Drosophila melanogaster: one gene and its partner. The protein of the gene in region 1 interacts with the protein of each later gene in a biochemical or structural test. Each region holds a gene or a part of one and is shown in the gene's direction. Other genes may lie near its edges.

The links.
Region 2: the proteins of LBR (region 1) and Lam form a complex in vitro, tested with the Drosophila melanogaster proteins (one study listed by BioGRID).

The regions. Positions count from the first base shown.
Region 1 is NT_033778.4:21,718,851-21,724,740, forward strand, and holds LBR (lamin B receptor), read left to right. Parts: upstream 1-1,883; 5' UTR 1,884-2,051; coding exon 2,052-2,477; intron 2,478-3,007; coding exon 3,008-4,807; 3' UTR 4,808-5,205; downstream 5,206-5,890. Other genes in the region: Tango11 (transport and golgi organization 11), read right to left, coding at 231-785. UniProt on the Drosophila melanogaster protein: Anchors the lamina and the heterochromatin to the inner nuclear membrane.
Region 2 is NT_033779.5:5,540,617-5,547,418, forward strand, and holds Lam (lamin), read left to right. Parts: upstream 1-1,863; 5' UTR 1,864-2,044; intron 2,045-2,162; exon of another isoform or gene 2,163-2,708; 5' UTR 2,709-2,715; coding exon 2,716-3,178; intron 3,179-3,421; coding exon 3,422-4,125; intron 4,126-4,190; coding exon 4,191-4,892; 3' UTR 4,893-6,026; downstream 6,027-6,802. Other genes in the region: Hel25E (helicase at 25E), read right to left, coding at 356-474, 537-720, 817-1,040, 1,107-1,305. UniProt on the Drosophila melanogaster protein: Lamins are components of the nuclear lamina, a fibrous layer on the nucleoplasmic side of the inner nuclear membrane, which is thought to provide a framework for the nuclear envelope and may also interact with chromatin.

The DNA.
Region 1 (5,890 bases):
ATGGGTGGCAAGCGCAGTGTGATCGCTATCTATCTATTATCTATTAACAATTTTGGTTGTTTTATTGCGTCATGTGTGGATCGCTAGGGTCTAGACTTCCATCAAATGAAGTGCTCTTTAACAGAAATCACAGAGTTGCTCATTCTGCCCATCGATTTAATTTACAAGCACTTGCAATTGAATTGAAAAACTAAAGGAAAATTGTTGCTTGTATGGCATATTTTACTCACCTGCGAGTCCGATTCAACGGAATTGGTGTCATTGCCTTGAAATCCCATACGGGCGACTCCATTGGCACGCACATATTGGGTGGCATGGACCTCCTCATCGTCGGCGTCCTCGTCGAGATCATTACCATACAAATGATGACCATTGGCCCGGATGGGCGAGCTCTCCTCGGAGGCCGAGGGAAAGTGTTGATCGGTGAGGGTGATAATGCGCGGTGGCGTCTGGACGCGCACCAATCCGACCGATGGGTTCTTGGGCAGAATGGAGTTCTCCAGCTGGATTTCCCGCGGAGCAGATCGCGTCTCCAGATGCTGATTGTGGCCCAGGACCACAATTCGATCCGGTACATTCATGTCGATCTTGTCGTGATAGTTCCAGGAGCTGATCATCCCGTTCTGGTTGGACAGCAGCAGATCCTCGTTGGAATACTCCCCGGTGGCCTTTATTCTTTTGGGAACCCGCATCTTGTCGTTAATCTCGTGGGCATATTTGGCGTCGCTGTAGAGATCATCGTCCAATCCATTGAACATGGGCGTCGGCGATTGCGGGGTCACCATGGCGATGTCCTGGGGAATCCTTTCAACTGATCCAATGGGCCTCACTTGCTTTTGGTTTTTCGTTGTTTGTCCAATTTTTTTTTTTTAGGTAGAAGGCGGCCGTGAGAGAGACGTTTTCATAACAAATTAATAACCAGAATTTGGCAAGCGCAACATTTTCGTCCGGCTTGTGTGCGTGTGTTTGTTGCGTATTGGGTTTTTCGAATGCTTTCTACTTACATTGCTCGGGAAATGACAGAAAAATGTCCGAGAAATCCGTAATAATTTACAATTTTTCTCCTGCCTTTTGTTATGTGTGTGAGGAGATTGATATAGAATGTGCTAAATAATACCAGGAATGACAGTCACTCTACTTCCACTCTACAGATCCGGCACTCTAGCTCCTTTTTAGCCAAATTAATTATCTACCTCAATATCAGTAGAAAACTAGGTATTTAAGAAGTTATTTCAGTTGTTTTGATTCATTTTATTAATATGTTTTTGTTTCTTGAAAAGTTTGCGGTATTCTTCTGTCTTGAACAAATAATTTACAACTCGATTTAAGCGACAACTTTGGTCTTTATAACCTACATATGTAAATAAAATGAGTACTGTTAGTCTTTGCAAAGATCAAATACTCCAAAAAGTTTTCTATCGATTTATAATACTTGCGCATTGGTATGGTTCGATTAATGTTTAAGGGAATGTAAAAATAAGTACAAGTACTTTTAATACTTTAAAATAATTAACCTTGAATACATTTTAAATTGTCTTAAAGTGCCCACTAAACCACTGTTAACGACACGCTGCGTGCTGTTAGGCGCCGTTCGGCGTTAGCCAACACTGAAAAATACCAACGCAGTGGGCCGCGCTCATTTTACAACAAAATTTTCTCATCCGCCGACAACTAGACGCGCGTCTTTTTTATCAAGTGATTTATGCTGAATTTACGGCGTTTCAATAGCCCCATAAAGTGAAAAACTACAAATAAATCCCATCAGAAGTGAGTTACTAAGTTGTGAAGCGTTAAAAGCTGTTTAAGCTAAGTTAAACATCGTTTAAAAACTGCCAGCCAAGAGGAAGAGAGCAAGAGAGAGAGCGCGTTCTGCCAGCGTCGCTGCCTGCGGAATGTACAGTTGCGGCAGCGACGTCGCTTTTCCTTTCGGCGCGCAAACACAAATAAATACAGAAAATTAGAGAAATAAAGAAAGCAAAGAAACTAGAGAAAACCACAGCGTTACTTAAGTACATTAATAGATTGTGTGTATTTTGTAAACTATAAATAACATGCAGCACTCGCCGAGCACAACGACTGATCATATCCATTTTGCAGCACGTTTTTTCGACCGCAATTCATACACCATGGATCGACGCCTGAGACGCCCGCGTCGCACGGAAGACGTGTCCAGCGGTCCACTTCTGGCCCAGTCCAAGCAGCCCAGCCTCCTGCCGGTGACCCGACGTACGGGCTCCGTGACAGCTGCGGGTGCCACCGCCACCGCCACCGCCACCGCTGGTCCCGCCACCCGGACACGTGCCTCCCCGTCACGCAACAAGGTCGTCGCACCGCCCTCGCCCGATCTTGGCCCGCGCACCCGTCGCTCCAGCCGGCCGAGGTCGTCGGTGGGTCCGCTGACCGGATCGGGATCTGGTTCCTCGCTGCCCATCAAGGCCGCCATCAAGGCACGCACACCCATCCCAGAGGTTTCCGAGGTGAGTTCTCCAGCACAAACCAGTTTTGCTGGCCGGTGGATAAGTGCTTAGCTATATTTGATCAGTATTCCAACCATCAGCAGTTTAGAATTTTGAAATCAATTGCTTTCAATATAAAAGCATAGCGAAATATTAGTTCTATTTAATTTCGATCGTTACAACCAATTAAACTACATAATTAACTGTAACTGTCCTACCTTTATTACAAATTTCGAGCTTCTGTTTCTGTGTGTTTTATGAAGCTGATAAGCAGCACCCACCGCCCTGCTTATCAGCTTAGAGTTCTGCCCTCATATGCTACCATAAGGAAATTCCGGGCTAAGATAACGGATTTGTAATTGTTGAGCTAAACTGCTGATTACAAAAATAGAGGGGAATCTGATAAGTGTACTCAAAACACCTTTAACCCAGTTTTGAGTACCCACATATTTTTGTACAATCATGTCCCTTTGTATATTCTTCTAAGGTTATATAGTTTCTGACTTTGTTTTATCACTTATTACATCTTTACTTATGATCTTAAATTACAGGTATCATCGCCTATTCGTTTGTCAACCAGCAATCTGCCCATGACATTGACCACCAACACATCCAGCGGCGCACCGAACAAAGCATTTAACACAAGCTCCGTGAACAGCGGCAACAGCTTCAGCCGTACCACTACCAGCAGCACCACCACAACCACGGAGCGCATCGAGATCCGTGCCGAGGGAGACGGCGAGGTGGACACGGATTCCATTCGCAAACGCATAACCGAACGACTGCGCAGATCGGTGTCGAAGACAATCTCAAATCTAGCTGGAACACCAGTGACAAACACCGAAGAGGGCAGTCGTTATAGTAGGAGTGTGTCCCGATCCGTCTACGACGATGAGAAGTCCTCCAAGCGTAGTTACTCTACGGGTGAAGAGGATATTGATGAGGAGGATGAATTGGAGGAGGATCAGTTCCGTAGTTTCAATGTAACCCGTAAATCGGCCACACCGGCGGAAATATCCTGCCGTCAGTTGAAGGCTCCTAGAGAATTTGGCGGTTGGCTAGGCGCCTTCCTGTTCCTGCTACTTCTGCCCACCGCCGTCTACTATTTGACATGGAGCTGTACGGCCAGAAACGCCTGTCAGTTTAAGCACCTCAATCTGGGTATACTACTGGATGTTAACTACCTAACGCGCCAGGTGTTCCAGCCACGAGTGGTGGGTGCCTTTGCCGCCTATCAGGTGGTGGTATTTCTGCTGGTGGCACTGCTACCAGGACGAAGGGTTCATCTCACCCGCGAGACCTACAAGTTTAATTGTCTAGCAGTTTCGCTTACGCTTTTGATTGCCAGTGGAGTGGCCGAGTATCTGAAGTATCCAGTGGTCACCTTCGTTCTGCGTCACTATCTGCGTTTCTGCATCTTTGGACTCGTTGGCGCCTTTGTGGCAGCTGCTTGGAGCTACTGGCTGGTGGACACCGCCAAGTACAATGTGCTGCGCCAAACGCTGACCAATGATTATGGCAGGACTGGCAGCTTTGTGGTGGACTTCGCGCTGGGCAGACAGCTCAATCCCAAGTGGCTAGGACGCGTGGATTGGAAACAGTTTCAGTACCGTCTCTCCCTGGTGACCACCTTGATCTATGCCACCTGCTACATCTACCAGACGCTCGTGTGGCCCCAGAAGCCGCAGCTGGGTGAACAGGAGGGCTATCTCTACCAGGCCAAATACTACTGGAACAATGTAAATTATGATCCTGCCACCCTGTTCTCGGCCAGCTGCTTGCTGTTCTACGTATTGGACGCCATTATTTTCGAGCACCACTTGAGCTCATCCTTTGAGCTGCAACACGAAGGCTACGGCTGTTTGCTGCTCCTGCGCTACGCAGCCACTCCATATCTGCTGACGGCGGTCACCAAGTATTTCTACGAGCAGCGTGTACCCATCTCCTGCTGGTATGCTCCGCTGGCAGTGGCTGCTCTGCTGTCTCTGGGATTGCTGGTCAAGCGATTCAGTTGCGCCTACAAGTACAAATACCGATTGAACTCGCAAAGTCCGATCTTCGCCAACATCGAAACTATTCACACGTATCAGGGAAGCCGTCTGCTGCTCAGCGGAATGTGGGGATGGGTACGCCAGCCCAACTATCTAGGCGACATCGTGGCCCTGCTGGCCCTGGCTGCTCCCATGGCCCTGCGTCCGGCCTGGCCACCAGTTCTGGGTCTTAGTCTGATCATCCTGCTCCTGCTCCATCGCGCCACCCGAGCGAACGCCCGGAATCAGGCGCGCTATCACTCCTCCTGGCAGCGCTACAGCACCCAGGTGCGCAGCTACATCCTGCCCAGGGTCTACTAAGCCGGGAGTTGACCCTTCTATTTTCTGTGGCCATTCTTATTTTTATTTTGATTTCAGTTTGTTTTTATTTTATGTTTCGAATTTGTATATATAATACGTATTCATAATTCATATTGTTCTAGACCACCAATACAGCCCCCCCCCCCCCTTCAGCCCATTACTTTTAGTAACAAAATTTGATTTTACACTCGCCGACACACGCACATTAAACAAAATGAATTTTCACACACATAATTATAGTTAAAAAACCCATCTAGCTGTACGAACTTATGCGCTTAAGATCTAGACATCTTATATAATCAATACTTGTAATCTATGTGGTATGCATATAGATAGTACTTTTTACATTTAAATATGAAATAAAAAAAAAACATAGTTTCTATGCTATGAAGAAACGCACAAGGACAGCTGTTTATTATGTATGTTTCCATCAAGTCAGTTAGTTGATTCCTGATAAGCTCCATAAATCGATTTTCACTTAGCACTTGCCAGACTTTAAGGTCACTCCAAGTGGATTTCAAGTTGAATCAAAATACAAATTATGAGCGGCCAGCAAACTGCGGCCGATGATGATGATGATGATGATGAATGTCAGTCAGCGAATAAAAGAAGTAATTTTGTGTAAAAATACCCGCTCCATCCAGCGAACACCCACCACCTACCGCTGTTCCGCTTTTCCGGACGGAGCGCATAAAGTTCTTGGCTGTGGGCGTGGCACGCAGCCTTTACAACTGTTAATGACATTTACGAATGTTTGCGAGCCACCGAAACTTGGTGGACCTCATCCGTTTCGCCATTCCATTTGCCACCCCACACACATAATGCCAAAATAATGACGAAGTCTGGGCTTGCACCTCCAAAAGACCTGCTCGCAATACACTGGAAAAAACATAGTATATTTATTATAGAATTGTTTGTTTTAAAAACAAATAAATTATAATTGAAGTTTATTATCTCTAATAATATATTAAAATTTATGCACAACAGTATGTGTGATTATGTTATATTACAAATTTATTTCAGTGCACAATGCCATAGAAAAATGACGCGGAAACTGTCAGAAAAGAAAGCAAATGGCGGGTG
Region 2 (6,802 bases), on another chromosome or scaffold:
TTTTTGCTAGCGTTGGTATTGTTAAATCTTTTGCGATTTCAATTGATTCATTCAGCGGTTACTGCTTGTTTATGCTTTTGCAACGGTTGCCAATTTCCACGATTAACCATTTAGAAAATGGTGTCCGATAGTCATTAACTAAGTTTTTCGATACGAGTTATGCTCACAGAGCGCTGGACGTTTGGTTGTACGCGTTTAACCATTTGCAAGATGGTGGTTGGCTTATACGGAGGGGATCAAGATCGAATGTTCGATATCGCGTGGCATTAACAAAATAATAACTAATTGTCGTGATAGCGGTGGATGCGAGGTGGAGAAGTACGAGCATTTTGGTTATGAACACGTTGATATTTACATCTTGCATGAACTTTTTGCAAACGGGACGAATGTCCTTGCTCAATGTGGCAGAGAACATCATCACTTGTTTGCCGTGCGGCGTGCTACGGAAAATCTCTTGAACGTCACGACGCATATCTAAAAGAATGGTTTGGTTATTAGTAAAACGTCCGTCATTTGGTGATTATTAGTCAACTTACCCAGCTGCTCCAGCATCTTGTCGCACTCGTCGAGCACAAAGTGCTTCAAAAGCTTCAGATTAAGTTTCTTGTTGCGAATGAGGGCGAGAATTCGGCCAGGGGTGCCCACCACAATATGCGGGGTGCCGCTCTTGAGGGTCTCCTCGTCCTTTTGAATAGCCATTCCGCCAAAGAAGACAGCCACCTAAATAGAAAACATATCGAATTAATATATAGTAACTATATAGTCGAACCAAACTTTTTGTTGAATTATATACAATGGATTAAAACGTAGACTCACCTTGACTGTGGGCATGTACTTGGAGAATCGCTCATACTCCTTGCTGATCTGGAAGGCCAGCTCGCGGGTGTGGCACATGACCAGGACGTGGCAGGTGTTGTTGTCCGACGGCTCCAGCTGCTGCAGCGTGGCCAGAACGAAGACGGCGGTCTTACCCATGCCGGACTTGGCCTGACAGAGGATGTCCATGCCCAGTACGGCCTGCGGAATGCACTCGTGCTGAACTGCAAGCGGAGAGCATCGTTAGTGACTGTACCTTTCGTCACTCCAGGTGGAGTGCAAGTACTCACCCTCCGAGGGATGCTCGAAGCCGCAGTCCACGATGGCGCGCAGGATCTCCGGTTTCAGGAGGAAATCGCGGAAGCCGGAACTGTGAATGGACACATAGGTGCCCTTGACATCCTTCTTGGGGGCCTCCTGGTTTTCGACCGCAGTGGTCTCGGTCTGCTCCTCATCCTCGTAGTCCAAAAGATCGTCATTGTCGGCCATTTCTGCGGCTTTCTTACCTTTAACTAGTTATCGGCTATAAATTCGCAACTAAATGCTGGGAAATAAAATGGGTGCGACTAGATAAGTTACATGTGTTTGTTAAAGAAAATGCCGCTTTTTTTTGCGGAACCGGTGCCGGCGTTCCCTCCGCCATTTTGTTTTTTCACCGCACCGCATTACATGTATTTCGAAATAAAACGAAATACCCATTACAAGCGACGATTTTATTTAGTGCAGTGTGATTTTCAGTGTCAAACTCACCTTTTGTGCACGTTTATCACTTTAAAATACAGCTTTTAAAGTGAAATTAACTATTTTAAAATCTTTAACGTGATGCGGAGGAAAAAACAGCGCAGAGCAGTGTGACCGAAGTACGTTTAAGAACTCATGCGAGCTGAGCCGGGTGATATCGTTAAGTTATCGATAGTTGTGCACAACAAATCCATTTGTAAGCTTCAACTAAAAAGTTTTTATAAAATATATGCCTTCTAACGCTTTAAATTAAAATGGCTTGTTGAGCTTAAATTTAATTTTTTTTTTATCATTTTGGGGTCAAGCGGTTCTTAGTCTTTTATCTAGCGCGGCGTTTGGTCACACCAGGCATGCCGGAAAGTTATCGATTAGTCTCTGAAACCATCGCAACAAATTCGATTACACGTTCCAGCGTCGGCCGCGTTTTCCTGCTGCAAGATACTTCATTTTCAAATTTGTGCATTTTCCGTTCGTTATAAAAAGTCAGGTGAGTTGCGCTGCTATCTACGAGCATTAGGAAAACTTGTAGAAAAAGTTGAAATAACTGATTAAGTGCCGAACAATAGAGGCGGCACTGTTTCACTCAAAATCGAAATAACCCCCCTGCCTGTATTAGTGTAAAGTCGCTGTAAATATTGAATTAAAATCGCCATATTGTGCAATTTTTGGCTCCTTATCAAATCGTTTAAAGTGCGTCGACTGGATTAGCTAAGCGTTGCGATTGATTAAACTAGTATTAGCCGCGCCATTTGCCTCCACGCCCATAAACAAACGCCGACAAACTCACTTCGTTTTCCTCGTCCGCTTTAGTACAGTCGCTTGAGTGGAAAGCGATGTGCGTGTGTGTGAGTGAGACGTAGAGGAGACTGCGAGAGAGAGAGAGAGCGCGTTAGAGAAACTCGTTTAGCTTCTGTTTTTGAGCGTTTTGTGCGTTTCCCCTCTTTCGTGTTCGGTTCTGTTTGGAATTTTATCAGGGCGCAAAAATAACATACCCTACACCGAACGAAAAAGTTCAAATATAAGTATTGCATATAAAACGCGTTTAGAAGGCACGCAATTGTGTTATTCAACTTTTCTTCAAGTGTTGTGTCCTAAAGAGGTCAGTCACAAAAATCTCACGTGTTATTCTGCACATTTCATTTGTCTTGCAGCGTGAACATGTCGAGCAAATCCCGACGTGCTGGCACCGCCACGCCGCAGCCCGGCAACACCTCCACCCCCCGGCCGCCATCGGCGGGTCCGCAGCCGCCGCCGCCGTCCACTCACTCGCAGACGGCCTCCAGCCCCCTCAGCCCCACCCGGCACTCGCGCGTGGCCGAGAAGGTGGAGCTGCAGAACCTGAACGATCGCCTGGCCACCTACATTGACCGGGTGCGCAACCTGGAGACGGAGAACTCCCGCCTCACCATCGAGGTGCAGACCACCAGGGACACGGTCACACGCGAGACCACCAACATCAAGAACATCTTCGAGGCCGAGCTGCTGGAGACGCGCCGTCTGCTCGATGACACAGCTAGGGATCGCGCTCGTGCCGAGATCGATATCAAGCGTCTCTGGGAGGAGAACGAGGAGCTCAAGAACAAGCTGGACAAGAAGACCAAGGAGTGCACCACTGCTGAGGGTAAGTGCGTGGAAACTGAATCGATAAGAAAACCTTATAATTGTAGGGCAAAGAAAGTAGAGTAATGATAAAATTAAAAGTAAGAAGAGACAAAAGGCGTGGTTTCAAGCAAGAACGAAACATTCATTTAGTTGCTGAACTGTATATAATGATTATCCCATGATATTCCTCACTTTCTGTGACAAAATCATCCCTATTCTGGCATTTAACGAACATTAATTGATTGATTATCCCAACCCGCAGGCAATGTCCGCATGTACGAGTCGCGCGCCAACGAGCTGAACAACAAATACAACCAGGCCAACGCCGATCGGAAGAAGCTTAACGAAGACCTGAATGAGGCGCTAAAGGAGCTGGAGAGACTGCGTAAGCAGTTCGAGGAAACGCGGAAGAACCTGGAACAGGAGACACTGTCGCGCGTTGACCTGGAGAACACCATTCAGAGTCTGCGCGAGGAGCTCTCGTTCAAGGATCAGATCCATTCGCAGGAGATCAATGAGTCGCGCCGCATCAAACAGACAGAGTATAGCGAGATCGACGGTCGCCTCAGCTCCGAGTACGATGCCAAGTTGAAGCAGTCGCTGCAGGAGCTGCGCGCCCAGTACGAGGAGCAGATGCAGATTAATCGCGATGAAATCCAGTCCCTCTACGAGGACAAGATCCAACGACTGCAAGAGGCCGCCGCACGCACATCCAATTCCACGCACAAGTCCATCGAGGAGCTGCGCTCCACTCGTGTGCGTATCGATGCGCTCAACGCCAATATCAACGAACTGGAGCAAGCCAATGCCGACCTCAATGCGCGGATCCGTGATCTGGAGCGCCAGCTGGACAACGATCGCGAACGCCACGGTCAAGAGATAGACCTTCTCGAGAAGGAGCTCATTCGGCTGCGCGAAGAGATGACGCAACAGCTCAAGGAGTACCAGGACCTTATGGACATCAAGGTTAGCTTTAATACTTGTCTAAAATCGTGTACGTATTAATACATAAATCTAATTATCCTGCTTAGGTCTCCCTGGATTTGGAAATCGCCGCATACGACAAGCTGCTGGTGGGCGAGGAGGCTCGTTTGAACATCACCCCAGCCACCAACACGGCCACAGTGCAGTCCTTTAGCCAGTCGCTGCGCAACTCCACGCGAGCCACGCCATCGCGTCGCACTCCCTCTGCTGCCGTGAAGCGCAAACGCGCCGTGGTCGACGAGTCGGAGGATCACAGCGTCGCCGATTACTATGTGTCCGCCAGTGCCAAGGGCAACGTGGAGATCAAGGAGATCGATCCCGAGGGCAAGTTCGTAAGGCTGTTCAACAAGGGCAGCGAGGAGGTGGCCATCGGTGGCTGGCAGCTGCAGCGGCTAATCAACGAGAAAGGTCCTTCGACCACTTACAAGTTCCATCGATCGGTGAGGATCGAGCCAAATGGCGTGATCACCGTTTGGTCGGCGGACACCAAGGCCTCGCACGAGCCGCCATCGAGCCTTGTGATGAAGTCACAGAAGTGGGTCTCCGCCGACAACACTAGGACGATTTTGCTGAACTCCGAGGGCGAGGCCGTGGCCAATCTGGATCGCATCAAGCGCATTGTGTCCCAACACACATCCTCCTCCCGGCTGAGTCGTCGTCGCAGCGTGACCGCCGTGGACGGCAATGAGCAGCTCTACCACCAGCAGGGCGATCCTCAGCAGTCAAACGAGAAGTGCGCCATTATGTAAAATCAAACGCAGCACAACACAACTCTTTCCTCTTTGCTGAACAAGACAAACAAAATAAGCACACACGAAGATCATAATTTAGAACCCAAAAACACACACACCGAGGTACAGAGATTTATTATTCAGCTAAGTTATTTTTTGTGGCCGCAGCGCCAATTATTTAATCAAAAACATTTGTGTAGAAGACATCCTGAATCTTCGTTTCGTTTGTACACTTTCGTTTTCCCTTTCTTAACAAATTCTATAGTTTATTGTTTCGATGTTTTTGTATTTCCGCGTTAACTAATCTATTGTAAACTTTATTTGGTATAAACTGGAGAGGCATGTTGCCTCTTTTTTATGCCACATAGAATTTACGTAAGACGTTCACTTCTTGTATTCGCGGCGGCAAGAACTTTGAAAATATTGCAAGAAAAACAATATTTTCGATGTACTTACGCTCCACCTACATATTTAGTAAATTAGTTTTTAAGCTATATCCCAGATAAACCAGTCGACGTCAGCAAACAACAACAAAAAAAAAACAACGAGCACGTAGTGAGTGATTTATAAGATACAGGTCAAGAGGATTAACTAAAGAAAACAAACGCTCCTGACAACAGACATATTTATTTAAGTATTTTTTGTACAATCAACATAAAATACATTATACATTATACATACATATACATACATACATTATATATATAGACTCATGCCTACGGAAGTGACAACCAGCCAGCAATATATATTTTTAGCCATGGCCATAGGGTTTACGATCCACCAAAACGGCTTTCTCCCGGTTTAGACCGGTTCTTGAGCTTCCTGCAGACATTTTACCGGACGAGCAACAATAAGAACAGCAACAACAACAACAGCATTAACAGCAACAACACAAATGTACAACAATTACAAAAGCAACAAAGAAGAAAAACGAAAGAAAATGGAAGTACACGTAGCGGCTCAGCGATCCGTCGCATTTTTTATGGGTGGGCGTGGTCGCGTTTTACGCCGGCCAAACAAATGCAACGCCCACACAGACTATTATACAAAAACTGATGAATACAACTAAATTTTAAGTACATCTACGTTTATGTATGTAATTGCTAATAATTTGATAATTAAAAAATAAAGAAACCATGTTTAATAAAAATTAAAAACAAACTTTGATTTAGCAATAGAGAGAAAGACATAAAAAAGTATTAAATAGTTTTAAAGCGTATACTGAAACCAATAAGCTCCTACGAATTTCGTAATAGTAGGGTACGCATTTCACTTTCGACGCCTGGTGGCCCTTTTTTCGTCACTCGCTTTGCGTTTCTATTCGTCGCCATGAGTTATTTTTGGAATTTTAATTTTTCTGCGTCTGTATTAGTTGCCTACATGCTTTTTCAATGCGTGTGTTCGCTCATAAACTTTATTTTTGAGTGACTTATCGATTATTTTTGAGTGCAGGACGTTTCAAAACCAACGTGCTTTCGCATTTATAAATATAATTTCTCTTCTTCTTCCGACCATGATTGTTTCTTTTAAAAATGTTAGGTGTCAACCCTGTCGATAGAGAAGAGAGCAAAATCCACTCAAACGAAACGCACTCAACGCGAGAGATGCGGTTAAAGTTCGTTCAACTGGCAAATGCAGTGACCGTTTAACCCGCGATAACGATAACAAAAGTATCTCAAGGTTGCTTGCAATTGCATTTCTGATTATTCTCTCTCTTTTTCTCTCTCTTATTCCAACCGCAGCCGCAAAAACAAACTCAAACTCGAGCTAATCGCTGCATAAATTTGCTGTTCGAATTGAACAATTGAACAGTCTCAGTTAGCAGCTGAAATCGGAAATAAGCGACAAAAGCAGCAGTGCGAGCAAAAATCAAGTAATAATAATCATCAATAAGCAGCTGTTTGCATTCGCGTGTTTTGAAGGTGAGT